Linked DNA regions of Oryctolagus cuniculus. The protein of the gene in region 4 interacts with the protein of the main gene of each other region in a pairwise test. Links are inferred from orthologs where the notes say so. Each region holds a gene or a part of one and is shown on either strand. Other genes may lie near its edges.

What was found.
Region 1: the proteins of ZBTB8A (region 4) and KIFC3 interact in binary tests that used the Homo sapiens proteins (3 or more experiments, as listed by UniProt). The two-hybrid records come from large-scale screens. The link is inferred for Oryctolagus cuniculus from reciprocal best matches to the Homo sapiens genes ZBTB8A and KIFC3.
Region 2: the proteins of ZBTB8A (region 4) and KIF5B interact in binary tests that used the Homo sapiens proteins (3 or more experiments, as listed by UniProt). The two-hybrid records come from large-scale screens. The link is inferred for Oryctolagus cuniculus from reciprocal best matches to the Homo sapiens genes ZBTB8A and KIF5B.
Region 3: the proteins of ZBTB8A (region 4) and ZGPAT interact in binary tests that used the Homo sapiens proteins (3 or more experiments, as listed by UniProt). The two-hybrid records come from large-scale screens. The link is inferred for Oryctolagus cuniculus from reciprocal best matches to the Homo sapiens genes ZBTB8A and ZGPAT.
Region 5: the proteins of ZBTB8A (region 4) and DDX6 interact in binary tests that used the Homo sapiens proteins (3 or more experiments, as listed by UniProt). The two-hybrid records come from large-scale screens. The link is inferred for Oryctolagus cuniculus from reciprocal best matches to the Homo sapiens genes ZBTB8A and DDX6.
Region 6: the proteins of ZBTB8A (region 4) and RAD23A interact in binary tests that used the Homo sapiens proteins (3 or more experiments, as listed by UniProt). The two-hybrid records come from large-scale screens. The link is inferred for Oryctolagus cuniculus from reciprocal best matches to the Homo sapiens genes ZBTB8A and RAD23A.
Region 7: the proteins of ZBTB8A (region 4) and FAM161A interact in binary tests that used the Homo sapiens proteins (3 or more experiments, as listed by UniProt). The two-hybrid records come from large-scale screens. The link is inferred for Oryctolagus cuniculus from reciprocal best matches to the Homo sapiens genes ZBTB8A and FAM161A.

What each region holds. Positions count from the first base shown.
Region 1 is NC_091449.1:41,234,508-41,238,007, forward strand, and holds part of KIFC3 (kinesin-like protein KIFC3), read right to left. Parts: intron 3,226-3,500; coding exon 3,067-3,225; intron 2,970-3,066; coding exon 2,730-2,969; intron 2,324-2,729; coding exon 2,150-2,323; intron 1,682-2,149; coding exon 1,534-1,681; intron 1,004-1,533; coding exon 873-1,003; intron 1-872. UniProt on the Homo sapiens protein: Minus-end microtubule-dependent motor protein. Involved in apically targeted transport. Required for zonula adherens maintenance.
Region 2 is NC_091444.1:102,466,854-102,470,353, forward strand, and holds part of KIF5B (kinesin-1 heavy chain), read right to left. Parts: intron 3,411-3,500; coding exon 3,362-3,410; intron 2,818-3,361; coding exon 2,762-2,817; intron 2,673-2,761; coding exon 2,585-2,672; intron 2,403-2,584; coding exon 2,278-2,402; intron 680-2,277; coding exon 575-679; intron 286-574; coding exon 140-285; intron 1-139. UniProt on the Homo sapiens protein: Microtubule-dependent motor required for normal distribution of mitochondria and lysosomes. Can induce formation of neurite-like membrane protrusions in non-neuronal cells in a ZFYVE27-dependent manner.
Region 3 is NC_091442.1:341,323-344,822, forward strand, and holds the end of ZGPAT (zinc finger CCCH-type with G patch domain-containing protein), read right to left. Parts: intron 2,206-3,500; coding exon 2,072-2,205; intron 1,954-2,071; coding exon 1,798-1,953; intron 1,404-1,797; coding exon 1,284-1,403; intron 1,190-1,283; coding exon 787-1,189; intron 699-786; coding exon 560-698; 3' UTR 337-559; downstream 1-336. UniProt on the Homo sapiens protein: Transcription repressor that specifically binds the 5'-GGAG[GA]A[GA]A-3' consensus sequence. Represses transcription by recruiting the chromatin multiprotein complex NuRD to target promoters.
Region 4 is NC_091438.1:139,931,921-139,935,420, forward strand, and holds part of ZBTB8A (zinc finger and BTB domain-containing protein 8A), read right to left. Parts: intron 2,211-3,500; coding exon 2,041-2,210; intron 1-2,040. UniProt on the Homo sapiens protein: May be involved in transcriptional regulation.
Region 5 is NC_091432.1:111,456,547-111,460,534, reverse strand, and holds the start of DDX6 (probable ATP-dependent RNA helicase DDX6), read right to left. Parts: upstream 2,801-3,988; 5' UTR 2,675-2,800; intron 2,103-2,674; exon of another isoform or gene 1,631-2,102; intron 1,612-1,630; exon of another isoform or gene 1,513-1,611; intron 1,435-1,512; exon of another isoform or gene 1,013-1,434; intron 1-1,012.
Region 6 is NC_091447.1:62,405,102-62,409,063, reverse strand, and holds the start of RAD23A (UV excision repair protein RAD23 homolog A), read right to left. Parts: upstream 2,801-3,962; 5' UTR 2,641-2,800; coding exon 2,569-2,640; intron 1,050-2,568; coding exon 888-1,049; intron 765-887; coding exon 583-764; intron 455-582; coding exon 399-454; intron 294-398; coding exon 166-293; intron 86-165; coding exon 7-85; intron 1-6. UniProt on the Homo sapiens protein: Multiubiquitin chain receptor involved in modulation of proteasomal degradation. Binds to 'Lys-48'-linked polyubiquitin chains in a length-dependent manner and with a lower affinity to 'Lys-63'-linked polyubiquitin chains.
Region 7 is NC_091433.1:140,969,778-140,972,413, reverse strand, and holds the end of FAM161A (protein FAM161A), read right to left. Parts: intron 1,676-2,636; coding exon 1,521-1,675; intron 1,065-1,520; coding exon 929-1,064; 3' UTR 501-928; downstream 1-500. UniProt on the Homo sapiens protein: Involved in ciliogenesis.

The DNA.
Region 1 (3,500 bases), on a different chromosome or scaffold from region 4:
CGGCTCCCTGGCCTGGCTCGCCCCACCGCCCACCCACCAGGGGTGCACCCTGCATCCTGCTGTGGGCTGAGGGTCTGACTGACATGCGCTGTCCTATGTCACCTTTTCCCAGTGACCCCTCGGGTGGCGGGGCTACTACATTCCCACTTCACAGGTGAAGAAACTGAGCCACTGCTTCCCAGTTACCCTGCCCTGTGCAGGGTGCAGCACCAGCACCCGACGGCAACAGCGTTCAGCTAGGCACAAATCCCAGCTCCAGCGGAACAGCTGGGGCGCCTGAGACAACGGCCTCAGCCCCCTCACCTGCAGCGTGGGGCTGACACCACCGAACGCGAGACTACGAGGTGGTGGAGTTCAGGTCCCAGGTACACTTCAGAGGGGGAAAGAGATGCGGAAGCCCCAACCCCGTGTGTCCTCCTTTGTTATTATGAAGGGAGACGCAGACACCAACGGGCTCAACGCGGGCGGCTGCGGGGCTCCTCGGCACCTGCCGCAGGCTTTGACTTTCCCCGAGCTGCGCACCGCTCAGCACTGCTGACAGAAGAACCCGCGGTCTACTCTGCAGAGCCCTGGCGGGCGAATTCAGGGAGCCAAGGGCTTGCACGTGGGAGGCATTTAAGAGACCTGGGCTATTCGCACCCTCTAAGTCCAGTTTTCAAAGTGAAACCTAGCACACGTGAGAACATGCAGTAGGTCTATGGTCACGGTCACACGTGTACAACAGAACAGCCTGCAGTCAGATAGCTGGCCATGGCCAGCGTGTGGGAGCTGCGGAAGTGTCTGTGAATTCGGGAACCGGTCCCGAGTGGATGCTGCGCCTGCCCCAAGGCCCCAGTGCCTCTCCCAGCCCCTGACCCAGCCCCCGCACTCACTTCAGCCTTGACACTCCGGAGGGCCTCCTGCAGCAGCAGGGGGAAGCCGCGCACCTGCCGCTTGAGCCCGTTGTAGTCGTTGGTGAGGGTCCGCAGCGCCGGCTGCAGCGTCAGGAGGTTAGTCCGGACGCCTGCGGGACGCGAGGGGAGTGAGGCTGGCGGGGAGGGAGGGCCGCGGCGGAGTGGGGGCGGTGGGCAGGGCTCGGGCGGGGTGGGAGGGGCCGCCGCGAGGTAGGGGGCAGTGGGCAGGGCTCGGGCGGGGTGGGAGGGGCCGCGGCGAGGTCGGGGGCGGTTGGGCAGGGCTCGGGCGGGGTAGAAGGGGCCGCGGCGGGGTGGGGGGCGGTGGGCAGGGCTCGGGCGGGGTGGGAAGGGCCGCGGCGAGGTGGGGGGCGGTGGGCAGGGCTCGGGCGGGGTGGAAGGGGCCGCGGCGGGGTTGGGGGCGGGCAGGACTCAGGCGCGGTGGGAGGGGCCGCGGCGAGGTGCGGGGCGGTGGGCAGGGCTCGGCCGGGGTGGGAGGGCCAAGGCGGAGCGGGGGCGGTGGGCAGGGCTCGGGCGGGGTAGAAGGGGCCACGGCGGAGTGGGGGCGGTGGGCAGGGCTCGGGCGGGGTGGGAGGGGCCGCGGCGAGGTCAGGGGCGGGCAGGGCTCCAGCGACCGCCTCACCTGCCAGGTTCTCGTGCACGGCCTTCATTTCCACCTGGGCTCTGGCAAAGGCCTCTTCGATGGCCCGGTTCTTGTCCTCCTCCAGGGACTGCATCTCCTCCAGCATCTGTCCGTGCGCCCGCTCCAGCTCCGCCTCGTACATGGCAATCTGGCGGCCGGGCCATGAGGAAGCTCAGGGCCGTGGAATGTGGTGGGGGAAGGTACAGGGAGGGGAGCCCCGCCCCTCACCAACACCACACCCCCCTCCTGCACAAGCACACGCGGTAGCAGGGTCAACCGGCTTCTCTCTCCCGGGCCCACGGCTGCGAACTCCATGTAGCTGCCACCACCGTCCCACCTCTCCACCCCTCACCCCCTGCCTTGGGCCCCAGCCCCGCCTGGGCCAGGCCCTGGGGGAGTCAGGAGAACCCGAGCCCCGTGGTGTTGATGGAGCACACCGGGCCTGAACCTCTGCTGGTCGCGTCCCAGAGGGCCCACCGTGGGCGCTGGGAGCAGAGCGCATTATAGATGAGGAAACAGAGACAAATCTTGCCCTTGGTCACAGGGTCAGGAGGGAGAGAAGGCACTGGCCCGTCCCGGCATGCTTAGCCACTGCGCCGTCCCAGCCCCCACCCACCTGTGCACGGAGCTGCGTGGTCAGCTGGTGCGAGCTCTGCAGCTGCTGCTCCATCTCCTTCAGCACCTGCCGCTGCATGGCCACCTGCTCCTGCAGGTGCTGGTTCCGGGCCTGGGACTCGCTGAGCGCCTGCCTGGTCTTGGGCGACTCCACCTCCACCGTCTTGATGACATACTGCAAGGCGAAGGCAGGCGTGTGGGGCCCTGGGAGGTGACCACGGGAGGGGAGCCTCGAGGGGCCCCATCAAGAGCCCCGGGGGGAAAAAAGCGAGAGCAGCCTGGGGTCCTGGCTTTCCAGAACGCACTGGAATCTTCTCATTTTAATGAGAGCCTGCTACGAGCCCAGCTGTGACTCCCACCTGGGCACGGAACAGAGGAGAAGGGCAGAACCCAGAGGGCACACGCGGGCACCCGAGCACTGGGTGTGGACACTTTCTCCGGCCCTGGCCAGCTGCAGAAAGGGGCAAGGCCCAGTGCAGCACGGGACCGAGTCCATTAAATACCCACACCTGTTTTATCCCCACGACGCGCCCCTCTCTCGAGGCTGCCCTGCCCTGGGCCCAGGCGCAGGTGAGGCTCACCTTGACAGGCGGGGACTGGGCCCGCAGGCTGGCGATGGTCTCGTGGCTGTCGCGCAGGCGCCGGCTGAGCCGCTCCTCCTCCTGCGCCTTCTCGGCCAGGCAGTCCTTGAGGCGCAGCTCCACCTCGGCCAGCCGGTCCGTCTTCTGCTGCACCTCCAGGTTCAGCTCGGACAGCACGCCTTTGTTCTCCGCCACTTCCAGCTGCAGCTGGGACAGCTTGTCCCGGAGCTGGGCGCTCTCCTGCGGGGGCGCGGGCCGCCGTGAGGGGCTGCATTCGCATTGAGGAGGAGCTGGACCCTCCGGGACCGACCGGGGCCGGGGTGTGGGGCCGGCTTACCTGGCTGTGTTCGCAGCCCGGGCAGGGCGCTGCCGCCGCCGCCACGGCCGGCTGTGCCCGCAGCCCCTGCAGCTCGGCCTCACAGCGCCGCAGCTCCTGCCTCAGCCGCTCATTCTCCACCGTCAGCCGGTCCCGCAGCTTCTCCAAGTCGGTGCCTCCCTGCGGAGGGCCGGGGCCCAGGGGAGGCATGTGGAGTGGGCAGAGGGGCGGACAAACAGCAGGCAAGGGCCCGAGGAGGAGGAAAGAAAAAGGAGAAACGTGAGAGAGCAGGACATGGAAAGAAACCCAGAGACAGGCGGCAGAGAGGAAGAGAGGCGGCCAGGAGGGGGCCTCCTGCCCCACCCCCCACCTGGCCTAGTTTCCTGAGTGTGAAAGTGCCGAGAAGTCATATTTATGCACAGGGTTCACACTCCTATTTTATGTCAGCCAGCCAT
Region 2 (3,500 bases), on a different chromosome or scaffold from region 4:
ACCTAGTATTATCTGCCTCTCAGCTAGAAAGAAATATCTCTTCCACTAACGATATGCACTGATCGTTAACTGTCTGCCATCAACACATTCAATAATCAAAAGGCCTATCTACATTTAGGCTTTCATTTTCTTAACAAACCTTTGACCAAACAGGAGTGTGGATTTTGTTTCAGACTCATTGTATGATGATGGAGAGCAGCAAATTACAATAGTGGTTCTACAGTTGCCACCTAATGAATCTTGAAGGATTCTTGTCATTTTACTATCTCGATATGGAACATAAGTCTACACACAAAAACAAAGAAAAAGAAATAAGACAAATAGGTTTCCATACAATAAAAATTTGTTATAAATATGTTGACTTATAGTTACTGCCCTCTATTAAGATTGGAACTAGGATACAGATACGAATACTGTGAATAAATTTTCTTTAAAAGATAACCAATTTACACATATTGATTGAAACACAGCGAATTTTCTCCTCACTCTTACACGCCATACAGAGTCAAGCATACACATACACCTAAATAATTCCCCATAAAACAGCAGGGAAACAGAAGGCACGGATACTCACGCTGCCCTCAGCCAGAGCAGAGATGACATTCCCAAGAGCAGAAAGTGACTTGTTGATGTTCTTAGCTTCATCTAGCACAGCACCTTCAGCTCCAGTTTTACTAACCTACACGTTAGATTTCAAAAGAAGGAAAAATTGTCATTTTAAGATGATATTCTTTGAATTTTCTAAAAGGTTTACAAGTCATCAATAACCAGCTAAAAAAAGAAGGAACAAAGTGAAAAGTTTCATGACGTTGTTTGCTAGGCATTTACTCTTGGTACTAGTCACTTCTTGAGTACTTTTCTGAGAACTTAATCAAGCAACTAGATGCAGACAAGAACATGATTGGAGACATCAAATTTTGTTTTTGCTTGTGCTCTTGAAGATAGCCAATTTACAAGTAAATTTTAGCTCATTCATCTGTTGGTCCCCTACATTAGAAAAGAGGAACCTTTTAAGTTTTCCTAAAGCATCATGATGTGATTGTTAAAAAGAGACTGAATTTAAACATATTATATAACAAGATTAAAGAGTCTTTGAGATATGTGTACAACTTTTAACTAGAAGGGAATAGGCATCACCATTCAACTGAGAAGAAACAAAATTAGCAGAACAGTAAAAATGGTCACAGAGGTCAATATTAAAAAACATTTCAACTTATTTTGACTTGACTAGAATCATATTTTTAGGACTGATAATGAGATAATCATCCAAAGGAAAAGAAATGAGTTGGCCTCCATATCTGTGGGTTTCATATCCATGGAATCAGCCAAGTGCAGAAGAAAATATCTGAAAACAATGGAAGTGCCTGTACTGAACATGTACAGACATTTTCCCCTAAACAGTAAAACAACTACGAATACCTTATTAGGAGATGATTTAAGTATACTAGAAGATAAGCACAGGTTATATCAAAGATTATGTACAGTGTTTTATACAAGGTACCCGAGCATCCAAGACTCTGGTATCTGAGGGGGATCCTGGAAACAATCCCTACTGACAGTGAGGGATGACTATAGAACCAAATCAGAAAGGACTAATGGACAGTTACCAGTTTCAATAGGGAGCTCACTGCCAATACAGATAAAAGAGATATGGGACTAAGATTGTGGCGTAGCAGATAACACCACCACCTGCAATGCCAGCATCATATACTGGTGCTGGTTCATGTCCCAGCTCTTGCATTTCCAATCCAGCTCCCTGCTAATGGGCTAGGAAAAGCAGCGGAAGATGGTCCAAGTGTCTGGGCCCTTGCTACTCACATGAGAGACCCAGAAGATGCTCCAGGCTTCAGCCTGGTCTAGCCCTAGCACTTGCGGCCATCTGGGAAATGAACCAGAGGATGGAAGATCTCTCTCTGTAATTCTGACTTTCAAATCAATCAATCAATCTTAAAAGAGATACCCGATATTAGCAAAGAGATATTTAATAAATCATTACTTAATAATAATATGTAATAAAATTTATAATAGCATATGCTGAACAAGTTTTCATTAAAAACATATATCTTAACTCAAAGGTAACAGTTGAGCCAAAATGGCCAAATAGAAGTTAATTAAGAATCGCTAATTTTGTTTACGTAATCATAAAGCTTTGACATCAATAATTATAATTCCCAGATAAATCCAATTAGGAAATTTTAAACATCACATATAAATCCCAATTTAAGGTAAGTTTATATAATGTTTAAATATCCTTGTCAGAATATGTGAACACTATACCTTTTCACTACCAGCTAAATCAACCAGATAAAGTTTTCCACTCAGCTTTTGTTCTGTTTGCGTGTTCTCTTGTTTCACGTTAATAAGAAATATACTGTGACTCCTAGAGCTATGTTCATTCATATCTGCAATGAAAATACAGAAAAACTATAAATAAGCATGACTTTCTCTTACTAATAATTTCCCTAAAGAATTATTTTACATAAAGTCTTAAAATCAATCACCTGAATAGGATATCCAGTTATTCTTACATCTTTTAAGGATAAAAAGCCATTTTATTGTACCTTAACAAATGTTAAATACTTACTTGTAACTGCTACATGTCTGTTGGATTTTCCTTCATCTATAGTATCCATAACTTCATCTGGACTACATACAAAACGCTCTGTGCACCCCTGTGAAATAATTTTGCAAAAAATATGTCAATATCCTTTAAAATTTATTACAAGGCTTTTCTAAACATTCTCTATTATTTTGTAAGTACCTTTACATAGGGGACTCGGTTTTTGTCTTCATGAACTGAAAGGTTGGTCTTTGAAACTGAAAAAGAAAAGTAACTTTAGCAACATTCTTCTAAAATCTAACACTAGTTATGAAATAGAATTGACAGGCTTCCCCAAGCAGCCCAATAATAGGTCAATCGGAAAAACAAAAATGAAAACACCACTATTAAAGCAAGACCTTATTGTCATATTAGCACACTTAAGTAGAAACCAATGCACAATACAGAATTTAGGCCCATTTCACCTTCTGCCACCTACATTCTGTAAACAAGAACATTAAGCTTGAGTGGTTCAAAGATTTGCCCAAGAAGAACAACGTATCTAACAGCTGATGGAAGAACTGAAGGTAGAAGTCAAAAATGCAGGGCTCAGGTTCTCTAGCTCCTTTCCTATGCTGTAATTACTACTTAAGAAGTAGCTTGCCTTAAGCAAGTTATTCTTTTTGTCAAAAGTATTCAATATCTTAAAACTTAAAAAATCTAATTATCTATTTCCTATAGTTTGTCAGTTTCACATAAGGTACTAAAAATATTAGTAACAAGTACTACTTAAAACAATAAAAGAACAAGGATTTAACTTACCATCTAATAGGTCCCTTATCTTATCCAAATATATTTCAAAATATGAAACCTAAAGGGTAAACAAATAAAAAAGGAAAAAATGATTGAACACCTTATTCACTTATTAAATATTTATGAGGTTTGAATGCCAGGTACTGCC
Region 3 (3,500 bases), on a different chromosome or scaffold from region 4:
AACAGGGCACGGGGCCGACCCCCTCGGCTGGGAGACAGGGAGGACACCAGCCTTCCTGGAGCCCTGTGCAGCGTGCCCCCCCCGACCCCCACAGCCTTCCTGGAGCCCTGTGCAGCGTGCCCCCCCCTGACACCCACAGCCTTCCTGGAGCCCTGTGCAGCGTGGCCCCGACACCCACAGCCTTCCTGGAGCCCTGTGCAGCGTGCCCCCCCCCCCGACACCCACAGCTTTCCTGAGCCCCCTGTGCATCGTGGCCCCCCCCGACCCCCACAGCCTTCCTGGAGCCCTGTGCAGCGTGCCCCCCCCGCCCCGACCCACAGCTCAGCCTCCACGGAACACTGATGAAGTGACTTTAATGTCCTAAGGAGAGGCCCAGCACACGGCAGGTGTCCGGAAGTGACCCTCCAGCCCCACCTCCACTGGACAGCGTCTGTGCCCCCGAGGCCAGGGAGCCCACCACGGGGCAGCCTGGGAGCAGAGTCCTTCTTCAGGCAGTGTCCTGGGGTCAGGGCGGCCCCGGGGGCGGGGTCCTGGGCCTCCAGCCCCAGGGGTGGGGCCTCTAGAACTCCGTCATCTTCTTGTGGGTGTCTGCCTTGCTCTGCGCCCGCTGCAGGCCGGCCTCCTGGGCGCGGAGCTGCCCCAGCCGCCGCTGGGCTCCTGCCAGTTTCTCTTCCAGCTGGGCGGCGGCCACGCTGTACCTAGGGAGGGAGCAGTCAGCATGGACCCCGGCCCACTGCCCCCAGGCCAGCCTGCTGCTTCCGGGCCAGGTGTCCGCAGCCTACATACCGGCCGGTGTTCCGGGCCAGGGCCTCCTGGATGGCCCGGATGTCCCGCTGTGTCCGCTCGATCTTCTCTTCCGTCTGGAGGAGCCGCAGGCTCAGGGCCTGCTTGGCGCTCTTGCTGGCGTGGTACATGTCCTTGCCCCTCCTGGACGGGGCCACCTCGGCCTCCGGAGCCCCAGGGGCCTGGCCTTGAAGCTTCTCATTCAGGAAGTCAAACAGGCTCCGAGGGGGCGGGGCACCCCCGGGCCCGCCCCCACGCCCCCGGCTCCGCGGGGCCCTGCTGGCGCCTGCCCCATCCCCCTGCGCCCTCTTCTGCAGGATCTCCGCACACTGGTCCAGCGACTTCCCCCGCGGCAGCACCACCGCCTGCACGGGCTCCACCCTGCCTTCCAGGTTGCGGCCCAGGCCTGGGGAGACAGGGGCTGGCCGTGCTGCTGCTGCACCCCAGGGCTGTCCTGGGCACCCTCCCCCGCCTCCGGGCAGCTGACAGCTCACGCTCACCCTTGCCAAACTCATAGCCCATCTTAGCCAGGAGTCTGGAGCCGATGGCCCGCGTGTGCGCCTCCCAGCCAGCAAAGGCAGAGCTGCAGGTCCCAGTGTCCACGGCGCTCGGCTCCACCACTGCAGGGGACAAGACGGCAGTCACTGGGCCAGGCCAGATCCCAGCTCCCGGGCACGTCCCTGTGCACCTGTGGGCTCGTGACCGCCCCCAGCTCCCCCCACACCTCGCTATGGCCCCTTCTCCAAATCCCACCCTCGATCCTGCCTGCATCGCCCAGGGTACAGGGCCAGGGACACACCAGTCTCTGGAGGGCTGGCCACGCCCACCAGCTTCCCTGCCGGCCACTTCTGCCCCAGCAGTCTGGACGCTGTCTGGACGCCCCCTGGTGCCAGGCCCTGGGGCTGCACGGCCAGTCCTCCCGCGCATGCTCAGCGAGGACCGAAGCAGCAGTCCCCACTGGCCCCGCTGGGCGTCCCCCCGTCCTGGCTCCTGGGCACCAGGCCGTGGCCGTACCGCGGGCATAGCTGGCGCCGTCTGTGTCGCTGCTCTCCGAGTCGGAGGACTCGGTGGCTTCCGTGCGCAGTGGGGGCAGGACGCCGTCGCCTTCCACCACCGCTTCCTTCAGCAGCAGGGAGTCGAACTTGACTGTGTAGTAGCCACTGTCCACATCTGCAAGGACAGGCAGGCTGAGGTGAGCGGCTACAAGCGGGGAGCAGGGGACCAGGCAGGGTCCACCCCAGGGAGGCGCTCGGAGGCCTTCCCAGGAAGGTGACCGGGCCAGCCTCACCAGTGATCCGCGCTGGGTGCCAGAGGCCGTCCTGGTGCTTGGCCAGACACGCAGAGCCGACCTGCAGGGAGCTCAGGTCCGGGTCCTGGAAGGGACGCAGCTCATCGACAGGGACCACCTGCCCGTGGGAGAACCTGCAGAGAGCCACACCGGCTGCTGACGGAGGGCACGCACACACGCGTGTGCTCTCGCACGCACATGCCTGTGCTCACAGAGGCATGCACACACTGGGCCTCTGCTCATCCACGTGTCCTGGGCTACAGGGACCACGTGGCAGCAGCCAGTCTCGCTCCTGCACACACTCAACCTCTGCCTGTCCACGTGTCCTGGGCCACGGTGACTGTGGCCACACCCTGGCCATAGCCTTGGCCCCTCCCCAACGACCCCACCCCAGACAGAAGCAGTCAGTCCCGGCAGACGGGCTGGAGTGACTGCAACAGCGGCGCCTCGACCCTCAGCTCCCAGTGGGCAGCAAAACCAAAACCAAGACCCAGAAGAGACAACGAAGAGGAAATGGCGCGGGCAGACACAGGGCCGTGACCTTTCACCTTGCCCAATAAGACACAGAAATCCCGACTGCATCATTTCAAGAGGGCACGCGTATCTGGCCCTACGGGGGTAGCTCCGCGGCTGCAGCCGCCGCCGTCCTCAGGCCAACAGCTGAGTGGCGGCCGCAGCCGCCGCCGTCCTCAGGCCAACAGCTGAGTGGCGCCGGCAGCTGTGACTGTGCCCAGGATGGCTGGACAGGGCTGCTGGCGGGGGGAGCTGCCAGACACCCCCGCACTCCTGACACAAGCCTCCCAATTCGGAACAGGCTGAGTAGGCCGCAGGCTTTCCTCCAACTGGAAGACCCACGCCTGGGGAGAGGACCCCACACAGGCGCACAGAGCTCACTCCCTGCCCGCGTCGTGCAGGCACAACACGGAAAAGCTGCACCTGGGGTCTGCACGTTTTAGGGTTCATCTATGGGAGAGGCGGAGAGGCCCTCATCCGCTGGTTCACCAAATGCCCACAACAGCCGGGCTGGGCCAGGCTGAAGCCAGGAGCCAGGAGCTCCACCCGGGGCCTTGCAGGGGCTGGCAGGGGCTGGAACACTGAGCACCCCGCCGCCCCCGGCTGCTTCGCAGCTGCAGGAGTGCTGGCCTCACTCACCGCACCGGAGACCGGGCCGCACTCGTCTCACTGCTGAGATACACATCTGTGCCCAACGGTTACGGTTTGGAGCCTTTTGGATCCTGGATCTTGGATCACCTTTAGCTGAACAAGGGCTTCTAGAAATGCCACCATTTGCAAAGATTTAGCAACACAAAGACTTGGAAACAACCACCAACCACAGGAAGGGGAGGGAGGGGAGTCACCCACGTCCACAGAGGGCGCCCAGGGTGACAGAACAAGCAGGGAGCCAGGCAGGTGCCGGGGGCATGCACGC
Region 4 (3,500 bases):
CCATTTGCTGGTTCAATCCCCAAATGCCTGCAACAACTGGGGCTGGACCAGGCCAAAGCTAGAAGCCAGGAAATTCATCCAGGTCTCTCACATGGGTGATAGGAACCCAAGTACTGGAGCCAGCACCTGCTGCCTCCCAGGGTGAATTAACAGGAAGCTGGATTAGAAGCAGAGGTGGTGTGCCGGCAGTGTGGCACAGCAGGTAAAGCCGCTGCCTGTGATGCTGGCATCCCATATGGGTGCAGATTCGAGACCCAGCTGCTCCACTTCCAATCCAGCTCCCTGCTAACATGCCTGGGAAAGCAACAGAATACAGCCCAAGTGCTTGGGCCCCTGCCACCCATGTGGGAGAGCAGGAAGAAACTTCTGCCTTTAGCCTGGCCCAGCCATGGCCATTGTAGCCATCTGTGGAGTGAACCAGCATATGGAAGATCTCTCTCTCTCTCCCTCTCTCTAATTCTGACTGTCAAAAAAAAAAAAAAAAAAAAAAAAGTCTGGTTTCATGACATTAATGAAGGCAGAGTTTGCTTGGCTCACTGCCATATACCTATCACTTAGTGACATTAGCAGGGAGCTGGATTGGAAGTGGAGCAGCCAGGACTAGAAACGTGCCCATATAGGATGCCACTGTTCCAGGTGGCAGCTTAACCCATTATGCCACAACGCCAGCCCCTATACCTATCACTTAGTAGGTACTCAATATATATTTATCATATAAATAACTGTAAAGCAATATATGAAAAAATCACCTCAAGTAACCTTTAAAATTAAAGAGAATTCTTATTAAGAGAATAATTTTGAAAAATAAGTTTGCTGCAAGATGAAAGCAGAATAATTCCTGCATCGCTGTCTTACTGAACCACCAGGGCACTGAGGTCTGTCTGAGGCTGACAGTCCCTGAATGGGAGTGGCTCTGCGGCCTACCTTCCTTCCTTCCTTCCTTGAGGAGACCGTGGAGAAAATAGAGAGAAACTAGGACAGGTGCGATAGACGGAGGCCAGACAGCCACAACTGGAGTAAGAAGCTGCTAGGGAAAGCTTCAGTAATCCCTGGTAGGGGGCCGGCGCTGTGGCACAGCAGGCAAAGCCACCGCCTGCAATGCTGGCATCTCATATGGGCTCCTGTTCGTGTCCCAGCTGTTCCACTTCTGATCCAGCTCCCTGCTAAAGGCCTGGGAAAAGTAGTGGAGGTTGGCCCAAGTATTTGGACCCCTGCTACCCATGTGGGAGACATGGATAAAGCTCCTGGCTCCTAGAGCCAGGCCCAGACCTGAGCATGGTGGCCATCTAGGAAATGAATCAATAGATGGAAGATCTCTGTCTCTCCCTCTCTTTCTGTAACTCTGGCTTTCAAAACAAATAAATCAATCTTTAAAAAAAAAATCCCTGGTAGTTGCTGAATATAGGAAATAGTGAGTCAGACCTAGATTAAAACACGAATAGCTTATATTATCTATGGCTCTGAGCAGACCAGTGTGCAACACCCTATTAGATTTTATGTGAGTTAAAATGTAAGGGACTTGTGCTGTTGCATAGTGGGTAAAGCTGCTGCCCGCAGTGCCAGCATCCCATATGGGCACTGGTTCTAGTCCACTTCTGATCCAGCTCTCTGCTATGGCCTGGGAAAGCTGAAGATGGCCCAAGTCCTTGGGCCCCTGCACCCACGTGGGAGACCTGGAAGAAGCTCCTGGCTCCTGGCTTCAGATCGGCCCAGCTCTGGCCATGGCAGCCATTTGGGGAGTGAGCCAGCAGATGGAAGATTTTATCTCTCTGCCTCTGCCTCCATGTAACTTTCAGATAAATAAATAAATAAATCTTTAAAAGATGGAAATACAAAACCATTGATCATCACAAGACTATCTCTGACTTCAGGATTTCAAAGGAGATGTTACAATCTGTATGTACATTTATGTACACATGTGATGATGCCTTATGTGCAAAGCAGAAATGTTAAACTGAGTTATATGAAAACCAGGTTATCCCAAAGCAGACACATGCATGTGCTTCTCAAGAAGCAAAACGATGGCAGCTGCATACGTACTGTTCGAAAATGGCTACTCAGATGGTCCAGCCTGCTAAATCTCTTCCCACAAGCTTGGCACGGGTAGGGCCTTTCCCCCGTGTGGCAGCGCAGGTGGCGCTTCAGGTCTGCTTTCCGCTTCACCACGTGGGTGCAGTAGGGGCACTTGAACCGCATCCGGGGCAGCTCATCTGTCAGGAGACAGTTCAGTCAATCACCGAGCCCTCCAGTAACTACTCTACCAACAGGAAGAATCCAAAAGGAGTCGGCGTGCCCCGTCTCGGAAAGGAAGGAGAAACAGAGGAGACAGACATTTTAAGACTAGATTGTCGGCCGGCGCCGCGGCTCACTAGGCTAATCCTCCGCCTTGCGGCGCCGGCACACCGGGTTCTGGTCCCGGTCGGGGCGCCGGATTCTGTCCTGGTTGCCCCTCTTCCAGGCCAGCTCTCTGCTGTGGCCAGGGAGTGCAGTGGAGGATGGCCCAGGTGCTTGGGCCCTGCACCCCATGGGAGACCAGGAAAAGCACCTGGCTCCTGGCTCCTGCCATCGGATCAGCGCGGTGCGCCGGCCGCGGCGGCCATTGGAGGGTGAACCAACGGCAAAAGGAAGACCTTTCTCTCTCTCTCTCTCTCTCTCTCACTGTCCACTCTGCCTGTCAAAAAAAATAAAAAAAAGACTAGATTGTCAACGAATCTGTGGCACAGGATAACTTCTGGATTTGGTGTAAAGTCTGTTAAGTTCAGACTTCCATACGTATCTGTTTAGTTAATGCAGAGGAGTTAGTTGATGTTGATAGTAATGATTTTAAATGTAAAAAGGTAATATTCAATTTTAAGACTCCAGACATCATCTAAAATCAAAGCATTTAATATTTGATTTAAAAAAAAATTTATTCATGTATTTGAAAGACAGAGTGAAAGAGAGGAAGAGATGGAGAAAGAAAGAGTTTCCATTTCTGGTTTACTACTCAAATGGCTGCAACAGCCAGGGCTAGGATGCCAGGAGCTTGAAACTCCTTCTGGGTCGCCCACAAGGGTGGCAGGAACCCAAGTACCTGAGCCATCATCTTCGGCCTCCAAGGAGCATTAGCAGGAAGCTGGATCAGAACAGGCAGCCCTTAAACCAGGTACTCTGACATGTGACGCAGGTGTCACAGATGACTTAACCTGCTGTGCCACAACACCTGCCCCAGGATTTCAGTTTTAAGTAACTTTTTTGTATATTTCTATTCCCTTGCCTTTACTTTTCATACACTTTTTCTGAAGGTGAAAAAATTTCAAGGATCTTTAATGTTTTGCTTTGAAGCTGACAATTACATTTAAAAATGTTAGTTGTGATTGGAAGCAAATATCAATTTAACAGCTGTTAAAGTCAGGTCATTATTGATGTTACATTTAAGTAATCTAGAATTATAAAAGTAGAGAGCCCAAATGAAAAAAAAAATAGTCTTTTTGAGGTTTAAAATGCAACAAGGGTTTCCC
Region 5 (3,988 bases), on a different chromosome or scaffold from region 4:
TTCTCACATACACAGAGCTGTTTATTTTTAAAGTCTTCCTGAATCAGAGCACTTAGAGGAGGTTATGAACCTTTCCCGTATTGACAGCTTTAGATTATGATCAACCGTATCACATAGTTCATATAGGGAGACTTATTTGTTTGCAAAACATTAGGAGGATGAACAAGGCAATCTCTTAAAAACGAAACCGTATCTTCATTACTGCCCATCACCGCGCATCTCCCTAAATCCAAAATAAGACTATGTGCTAACTGCTCCCCTCTTAAACTGAAACCTGCACTGCAGCTTTATGTCTCAGAGAGGAAATATTCCTCCTACCCCTTCCCAATTTAGATGTGCAGGTTATAGTTCTACGTTAAGAAAAAAAAAAAAAAAAAAAGACAAAACGTAGACTATCTGGGAGGAGCCCCTGGTGGAATTAATTACAGCACTTCCCAGATCGTAGTTAGCAATTGACAGTTTCACACCCAAAACAGTACCGTCATCTCCAACGAGAGCTTTTGTTTGCAAATGCAGCGCAGTTTCTCCAAGCTCTGGCTGCAAGTTGGAGTGACTGGGTTTTATTCCGAAGAGAGGGAGCGGGGGATCGCGGAAAAGGAGTCAAGCCAGTGTCGGGAGCCCCGCAACTGTATGGCACTCATTTCTTCCCCTGCCTCCCCCCAGTCTCACACTTCGAGTCAGCTCCTTCAGACCACAAAAACAAAACGGTTGGGTCCCCGCAATCCTATCTGCGCAACAAGGGCCAAAACTCAGCTCCGCGGCAGCAAACAATAGGGACTGCTCCAATAAAGGGCCCGAAGAGACCCCTACAACCTAGGACGCCCCTCCTTCCCTCCGCGACCCGGGGGCTCCACCAACACCCTCTGTTTATCGACCTACAAGGCCTACTGCAATCAGGCAGCAGCCGGTCCTCCTCCAGCCGGAGCCCTCCAACACGGCAGATCCGTGCCGCCCCCTGTAGGGCTGCCTCGTACCCCATAACCTCCAACATCATCTCCCCCCCAGCCCTTACCGCCCCCTCGGGTCCCCACAGCCCCTCGTCTTCCACAAAACTCCTCGGAGCACTCGGCCCGCTCCTCCTCCTGACCCCGCCGCGCACTGCATTCCCATATTCGACTCCTCTGAGGCGCCCCCACCCCACACAGCTGCCGCCCGCCCTTCCTCCCCCAGGCCCGGCCAGGCCTTGGGCCTCCGCCCGGAGCGAACCCCTCGCCGGCCCGAGGGGCTCCCTGAAGCCCCCACGGCACCGCCGACCTCGACCCCGCCGCCTCACCCCCGCGCCCCGCGGCTCTGGCCCGAGTCCTACCACCGAGGCCACTCCCGCTCGGCACCCTCGGTCCTTTATTGTTGACTCGAAGCTCCCAAAATGGCGGCGGCTCCTTCCTCCTCGGAAACCTCCGCCCGCCCCCACCCGGCCCCTCGCTGTGGCCGCCCCCGCCCCCGCCCCCGCCGCACTCCCGGGGCCGCGCCGCCGGCAGCCCGCGCCGCCGGCTGCCGGGCCGCCCAGCCTACCTCCGCCGCTGCCCGCTCTCTCGGCGCCGCCGAAGTCGCCGCCGAGCTGAGCTAACTCGGCTGTCTGCCCCCTCCCTCGCCCGCCCGCCGCCGCCTCCCTCCCTCCCTCTTTCCCTGCCTCTCCGCATGGCGGCGGCCGCGGCTCCTCCTCCACTCAAGATGGCGAGAGCTCGGCTGTCGCGGCCGCCTGGCTTCCCTTCTTCCCTTCTTGACGGCGAGGGGAAGCCCGGCCGGAGAAGCTCCCTGAGGAGGGGGGAAGGAAAAAAAAAAAAAAAGCGGGCCGTTCTCTCACACCGACGGGTGGAAAGCTGCAGGGGGAAGCCCGGCTGCTGTCTGAGGGGACAGGAAGGCCGAGGAGAGATGCTCGGGGAATGGTGGCTGAGGAGAGTCGCCGGCCTTCACGCCTCCTGCGTGAAAACCCGGGGTTGTGACCAGAGGCGGATCTGCTTGTTACTGCCCCAAGACCGGTCCCCAGCACTGCCGGGCCGGAGGCGGGAGGCTGACCTGGCACCCCCGCGGGCCGGGGGCCGCGTCCGAGCCCCTCGCGCCGCGTCTCCGCCCGGGAGCGCGCGGAACCAGAGGCCCCCACGCGCCCGCCGACGCGCGCCCGGGGGCGGGAGGGGGGCGGCCTGGGACCCGCGGTGGGGAGGGCCCCGGGGCGCGCGGAGGGCGGGCAGGGGGGGTGTAGGGACCGCGCCGGGCGGAGACCGTGCGCCTGGGAGGGGGAGCTGCGGAGAGCACGCGGGGTCTGGGAGGCGACCCCGCCGTTAGGGCGCAGGGCTGGGCGGCGCGACCCCCCTCTACTGCCGAGATCCTCCAGGGAGGGGCCGAGCCTCCCCCCAGAGGGGAACAGCACTGAGTCGTCTCGGTGGAAGCCGGGCAGTCGGTAAAGATCTGGGCGCCCGCAGGCGGAGAGTTTTTTCTCCCGCCCGCCCCTCACTTGTAAAGATTTTTAGGCATTTCTCCTCATGATTACTTCTCAGACCCTAGCGTCTCCGTTTATCCCCAACAGAATAACAGAAATGCTGTGGTGTCTCAAGTAAGAAAAAAAAAATTTGGCTAGGCCGAGGGAAAGTAAAATCCTAGGTCGCACCCGGCTGGGAAGCGGAATATACAAACGGACAATGGCCAAAGCGTATGTGACAATAGGACTCCGACCCACCTCCGCAGCAGCGAGCCCAGAACGGTCAGCACTTGCTCACTGACTGGCAGCTTCCATGTTTTTTTGCCGCTGTGCCGCTGTCCCCAACTCGGAGCCAATCAGAGAAAGCCAAATATGCCGCCGCAACCAATCACGTCCGAGGCCCTGCTTCTCGCTCGCCCTCCTCCCGCTTCCCGGTGCCAGCACGCGCCAATCGCGGCCGACCTGACGCCTTCCCCGTTTTTCACCATGAAGCTTTCCTACTCCCCCGCCTGCCTGGTCCCCACCACTCCGAGGGGTCGTGGCTGCGGATCCTACGGCACGCTCTGAACGCAAAGCCTGGTCTCGTTTGGCGGTCTGGAAAGGCTGTCGAGAGCAGTGAAAAGACTACCCTTGACGTTAAAAAAAAAGTCCCCTTATTTTTTTTTTAAATTCTAGGTTTAGAGCATGCCATCTCCCACCCAGATTTTAAAACACCTAGTCGTGAAGAGAGAAACCCTGCACCCTATTCCATCCTGTAGAGAAGACGGCTGGGTGATACCGTGTGAGATCCTCTTTGCCTCACTCTCTTCCCACGTATCAGGTGTGTGAAGGGTTGGGAAAGGGGCTTCAGGATTTACACCAGGTCCCTTCCCCCACACTGCTCAAGGAAAGGGTCCACAAATAAACTGTAGCCTGGATGAGGTCACGACAAAAATGGGCAATATGAAATGACCACCCATCTCACCTAGGAGTCCTTCTGAGGCGAAAACCTTTCGAAATTCTGTATAATGATCTTTTAAGATGGGTAAATACTCTCACATTGTTGGCCCTTTTCAGTTTTCTGATGGGATACGTAGATGGTTTAAAATTAAGCTAGGAACCCTGGATCTTTTATTCTAGATTCAGCTTTAGTGGTTGATAGGTCAAACCATTTCAAACCATTTTGTCCTTGCTGTTTTCAAACAGATTAGCAAGAATTGTGAAATATGACACTTTAGGAAAAAAGATTATTTGGGGCTGCACAGACTATCATTTATAAAATGTATTTTTAGGGGGTTGGAGAGAGGATAGCTAATGGGTCCAGGGGTGCAGTTGGGCAGGATAACTCTGATTGGCAAGAATTAATTGAATATTTCAAAATAGCCACCTAGCTGCTTTCTCTCTAGGGTGAACACGAGGAACAGAGTTCCCCCCTTCTGTGTGACGAGGTATTTTAAAATCTGGGAGATGGTATGCTAGAAACAGAATTTGAAGAGGATTTTGAATGTTCCTAGCACAAGAAAAGTATGTGAGTCTGAGGTGATAGGTATGCCTGATCATTACATGTTGTACATATGTACATATGTATTGAAA
Region 6 (3,962 bases), on a different chromosome or scaffold from region 4:
GCTCACCTGCCTCTGTGGCCGGCTGCTCGGACACCTGGCTCTCCTGGACAGAACCGTGTTCGGGCTCAGGGCTCCCGGGAATCCCCTGTTAGGGCTCCTGGTCAGTTCCCACGTGCAGCCCCCCGCCGCCCAGGGAGCCCTCCGGGCGGGGCGGCCCCAGCTCACCGTGAGCAGGTACTCCACGGCTCGGTGCGGGTTGTTGTAGCTGGCTCTCAGGGCGGCCACCACCCGCTCCCGTTCGTAGCCCATGGACATGATCTCCGTCAACATCGTCTCGTACTCAGAGCCGGTCACTGCGGGGCGGGCAGGGGGGAATGCCAGGGCCTGGGTCACTGGGGCCCACCCGCATCTAGACTAGACCCCCGCGGACGGCTCTGCCCTGGGGACCACCCACCCACCTAGCGTGGAGGCCGCATCTTCCTCTCGCCCGCTGCTACCTGAAGAAGGAACAGAGCTGCAAATTCAAGAGAGAGAAATCGGACCCTGGCTCCTGGCGGCCTGCCCTCCCCCCACCGGAGGGCGCTGGGGGGGACTGGAGGAAGGTGCTGGGACGACACGGCCCAGGGCTGTCCCCTGCCTTACCCGGACACAGACTCCGGGGATGTCGTGGGCGCCGACTCCTCCGATGGGCTTTTGTCCTCTCGGGTGGCCGGTGGGGGGTGGGACATGCCTGAGGCAGGGGCTGCTGGCGAGGTCGCGGAGGACTCTGGGGCGGCAGTCGGGGAGGCCTCTGGGGGTGCCGAGGAGCCCTGGCCAGCCTTGGCCTGTGACAGCCAACAGAAAGGGGGCGGGCGTGGGCATCCCGTATCAGACCCAAACCACGCCACCCAGCCGGGGCCCTGCCCTGGGTTCCCGGGCTAATCTCTCCTTGGCCAGCTCCCACCCACCTTGGTCACCATGACGACCACAAAGTTCTTCTCGTCGATGCGATAGTCCCGGATGGGGACGTCGTCGCTCAAGATCTTGCCAGCGTAGATGAGCTTCTGGCCGGCCACAGGGAAGGCGTCACGGCCTTTCTCGGCTTCTATTTTCTCTTTCAGCACCTTGACCTGGAGGGAGAGGGCACAGCCGGTCACTGCAAAGCCCTCGGCGTCTCTCTTCCCTTCTAGGGTGCAGAGAGGACCGGCTCCGGAGCCCCCAGTCCCCCCGCGATGTCGGAGCAGGTGAGACTGGAATTCCCTCCAACATCCGGGCCCTCATCCGTATCTACATCCTCCGTGGCAGGTGCTAGTTCCAACCTGCGGAAGCTTTCTACAGACAGGGAACAGAACGCCACGCGAGGCCTTGCCCTGGGAAAGAGGCCCCGTGTGAGGAGAAAAGGCGAAGGGGAGATGGGGTCCCCCATTTCCACAGTGCTCACTTTGGACAACAGCAGCGGTGTTTACCAACACATATGTATGTACTCACTTTATTTACTGAAAAGACAAACACAAGGCCAGGGAGAGACAGATCTTGCATCTGCAGGTTCAGTCCTCAAATAGGCTACAAGGCCAGGGCAGGGCTGGGCCAGGCTTGATCCCGGTGTCCCCTCCCCCGCCCTCCCAGGGGTGGCAGGAACCCAAACACTTGGGGCCACCCTTCCGCCGGCTTCCCGAGCTCATCTGCAGGGAGCTGGGTCAGGAGGGTCCGGGACTCGAACCGTGATTGGATATGGGATGCGGATATCGCGGGCAGCAGCTTAAAGTTAATGCCAGCCCCTACTAAGGGCATCTGAGGCTAATGGCAAACGTGTGTGTGTGTGTGTGTGTGTGTGTGTGTAAGCGCGCGTGCCCGCGTCTCCCACTTGCCGAGCTCCGGAACTCCCTGATACACACATATACAGACTTCATTTTGTTTGAAAAAAAAAAAAAAAAACCCGCCCACAGGGTGACAGTCCCGCTGCTCGGAGGTCCCAAGCCTCTTTATTTTGCGCCAGAAAGTGGACAGAAGCGCCCAGTTTCCATTAGGTCCTCATGTCTCCCTCTCAGCTCAGAGCAGCGTGGCTGAGACCGCGCGGGGCTCTCCCGAGCATGCACGCACGACCCAACCGGGATCCGCCGTCCTCTGCCCCCTTCGCGGCTGGGACCCCCGGCCCAAGCCCTGGGCTGCCCCCATGTGCGAAAGCGGACAAAGCCTGCTCGGCAGCGTCAGCCAAGGCACCGCTACAACACACGCGGACCACCGAACACCATCGAGGTCGTGTACTGTCAATGTCGTCATCGCTGTCGTCATCACCCGGCTCAGTCCTGTCAATGATTCGCCCCCCGACGTCCCCGGGAGACGCTGGGAACGCCGAGCTCCGGAGAGCCGGGCCCGCCCGGGAACCCGAGCCTGCAAGTCCCCCGCCCCGCGAGGGCGCTGACACCGGAGCCGGGGCCCTGGCGGGCGCCCCGGGGGTGCGGCCTCGCCCTGCAGCGCCGCTGATCGGGGATGCTGGGGCAGCGGGCCCCCGCCCGGCCCCGCGCCGTCCTCCTCCCCACCCACCCCTCCGGTTGGAAGCCCGGTCTCCCCGCCCCCACTCCACCCCCGGCACCCGTCGCACCCGCTCCCCCCCCACTCCCCCACCCCAGGCTCGAGCCCGGCCCGCACCGTCTCCTCAGGTTCCATGCGGATCTTGAAGGTCTGCTGCTGCAGCGTCTTCAACGTGATGGTGACGGCCATGGCGGGGCCCGAGCGACGCGGCGGCCCCGGATCCTCACACACAACATGCAACTCACGCCGCCGCCATCTTAGCGCCCAGCCGCGCCGCGCGCCGACCGCTTCCGGGGCAGGCGGCGCGCGCGCTGACCACCGAGGCACGTGACCCCAGCGCGACCCTTCGGCTTCGGTGGGCATGCGCACGCGAGGCCACCGGGGCCACGCATGCGCAGACTAAAGCCCGCGTTGCAGGCGGCTTCAGGCTTCCTGGGTGACGCCATGCCCGCTAGCGGTGACGTCATGTGGCCGCAACATGGCTCCGCTGTCGTTTTGGTGGATGATTTTGACTACATTTTTTCTCACTTACTATTTAACATTCATGTCTCTAATGTAAATTTCTTCCCGCCATGTATTAAGGCTTCCATCCGCTGGGTCTCTTCCCTAAATGCCAGCCAACAACCCGGAACTGAATCCGGGTGTCCCACTTGGACCATCACCTGCAGCCTAACGGGAAGCCGGATTGGCATCTTGCAGCCAGGCCCTAGTCAAGCTTTTGTTTGCACTTTCTGCCTACTCCCAAGGAGCTTCCTTATGGGCTGGCCACCCTGGCCGGAACCCTGCAGGGCCATCCGAAGTCAAGGCTTATGTAAGGCCAGTGCAAGACAGACAGGGACTCGAGGGTGCCCAAAACTGAAGATGGTGCCGCGGTGGTGACTGGATGGAGGTGAGGTTAGGATTCAGACCCAGGGGCGGTGCCTGGAGGTAGGGAGCTGTGGTTAACACCCCGGCTCCCTAACCTGACCCATACCTGGCTTTTCTCAATGCTGCCGCCCAAGCTGGACACCCCTCCACCCCCAACCCCGCTTTTCTCCCTACACGCCAAGCCTCAGCCTTACAAGCTTCCAGCAAGGTCTCCCAGGCTGTTGACGGCTTCCTGCTTCCCCCTACTGCCCCCAAGGGACATGGAGGGGCGCCCTCCCACCCTCCAGAGCCCTCCACCTTCTCTGTCTCGGCACCCACTCAATCTGCTCCCTCCACCTTGGGTCCACCCCCTTCCCAGATGGCCCCCGAAGCCCGTGGGTCCAGGGGGCAAGGCTGTGTAATCCCTGCCCTCAAACACCTGGACCTGGGTTTCCTCATTCATGGAGCTGAGTATCTACAACCAATATACTAGTCAGGCTGGTGCAGAGCGCCCAGTTGGTACCTGGGACGCTCCCAGCCCTTTTCCTGTTGGCGGGGAGGGGGGGGGGGCGTGGGATAGCCCAGGACCCCTGTGATCCTCGACTCAAGCCTTAACTCCACTGGCTCCAAGAACAAGCCTCCCGCCCCAAGAGGCCACCTTTGGT
Region 7 (2,636 bases), on a different chromosome or scaffold from region 4:
CTTGTAAATTCACAAAATCAAATTAACTTCATGCATAGACAAAGTGTGTCTGCAATAATAGGTAAAAAGTTGAGCACAACTAGGTCTAGCATCAAAGTATTAAACCTGAATTACTTTGGAGATTTGCCTTGGACAAGTCACTATGTACGAATTCACCATTTATAAGAGGGATATTTACCTCTAGTTAGGATTATAACTCATAGAGTCCACATTTTTTTCCATCTGTAATACTATGCAAGGTTTAAAAACTAGCACAAAAACTTTCCTATTAATAACTTACATATTAAAATAATTTAGACAAAAACTAGAGCTAAAAAAAGAGAAAATCATAATGGTATGGAGTAAACTCTCAGTGCAGAAATGAATGTAAATTTGCATGTCTATTTTCCCCTTTTATTCCTTTTTAAAAATGGCTCAGATAAAAAACTTAAAATATGTAGCAACACAAGCTTGAGAGCTCATTTTGTGAAATGCAGTGTAGAGAAAAAGAATGGGCAACATTTATAATTTAAAATATTTATTGATTCATGCCTTCCAGAATTTTTTAAAAGGTCAGTCACCAAAGGCCAACACGTTTTTCTGCTCTCAATACTAAGCCATGTTTTTCCACTGACAATAACGAAGTAATGTGTATTTTGACAGCTAATCAGTTGGTGACAGCTGTGAGTCTCTGTTTTTAAATACAAGATCAGAGTTGCAAACAGACCAAATGTAGCAACTGTAAAAAATGAATGGGCCAAGCCTTACTCTAAGTGACCAAATGACCAATCAGCCAGATGCAGCACTCCTAGGCTACAGATGTCTTTGCTCAACAGCTCCGCACATATCTGAGTTGTCTCCATGGATGTTCTCAACGTCACAAATGTGGCTGCGACAGCCCTGATGCTGCAAACAGTATGCAGAGAGCTCGCTGCATGATTCCTCAGTTTTATTCCTCAGCAGGTTTCTCTTCACTTTCTTCTTCAGCTTCAGCTTCTTCCTTGCAAGAATCCTGACTGTTGGCATCAACAAAATAACTTTCTTCCCCATTCTCTCTTTCTTCTATTTTTTCTTCTTCATGAAGGCTAGAGGAAGAAATTTATCAATCTTTGAAAGGAAAAATGAGCTAGCTTAAAGGTAAACAGACTCTGCAATGAATGCCATCGTGGAGCCAGTCTTCCTCAAGTGTCTGAGCTCCAATTTATTGAGAACCAGCTCTATAAAGTGCCAACTGGGAAATTAAATATTCCTCTGGAAACTAATTTATTTCAAATTTGAGCGACTGACTCTTTAAACCTCATATGAAAGAATGCTATTATTTTTGTTATCTATATCAGATAGAAATCATAGTCTGCAAAATACTCCATCACCATGTTAACATTTTGAATGTCAAACGTTAAAATATCAGTGTATGTTTTACAACCATTCATATGTATTCTTTCAGGAAAAAAACCCTTTTTAAAATGATATAGGACAGAATTTTATTCTTTCTTGCAGGTAAGATTTTTTCAAAGGTAAACCATTCATTTTACATATGTTACCTTTCTTTATCTTCACTGAAACTTTGCGATTCTTCATTGGCGAAGCACTCAAGTACTTTTCCACTTTGGCCTTTCCTTGAAACAAACTCATCAGATATTCCTAGTGCTTTTAGGGTGTTAGAATAATGCTTTTCTGCTGCCATCCTTGCATTTTTCTATAGGAAAGACAAACCTTTTAGATGAGAATAAAGACTTTATATTTCCATTAAAATATATGGGTTAAAAGCGCCAGTGAAAATTAAGTTTAACAATCACAGCTGGTTGAAAATATGCATGCTGGGGCTGGCACTGTGGTGCAGTGGGTTAAAGCCCTGGCCTGAAGTGCCTGCATCCCAAATGGGTGCCAGTTCTAGTCCCAATTGCTCCTCTTCCAATCCAGGTCTCTGCTATGGCCTGGGAAAGCAGTAGAATATGGCCCAAGTGCTTGGGCCCCTGCACCCGTGTGGGAGACCCGGAGGAAGCTCCTGGCTCCTGGCTTCAGATCGGCACAGCTCTGGCCATTGCGGCCATCTGGAGAGTGAACCAGTGGATAGAAGACCTTTCTCTCTGTCTCTACCTCTCTTTGTAACTCTGTCATTCAAATAAATAAAATAATTTTAAAAAAAGGAAATATGCATGCTGTATGATTAACAACTGCATTAGTAGATATATACCCACACAAAGTACATGTGAGACCTAGGAGATGTGTAGCAGACTGCTTAGGATAAACTGTGGGATCCTAAGACTGTAAACAGTCCAGATACCTATCAACAGGTAGATGAATAAATAACAACACAGTAAATGTTGTTATTTACTGCCCACATGGATAGTTAATAAAGAAATGAAAATGAATTAACTGGGGGCAGGCATTGTGGAGCCGCCAGTAAAGCCACTGCTAGAGGAGCCTGTATCCCATGTCAAAGAGCCAGTTAGAGTCCTGGCTACTTTGCTTCCAATCCAGCTCTGCTCCTAAGAGACAGCAGAAGATGGCTCAAGTGCTTGGGCTCCTGCTACCCATGTGGGAGACCTAGAAGGAGTTCTAAGCTCCTGGCTTTGGCTTGGCCCAGATCTGGTTGTTGGGAGGCATTTGGGAAGCAAACCAGTAGATGGAAGATCTGTCTGTCCCTCTCTCCCTGC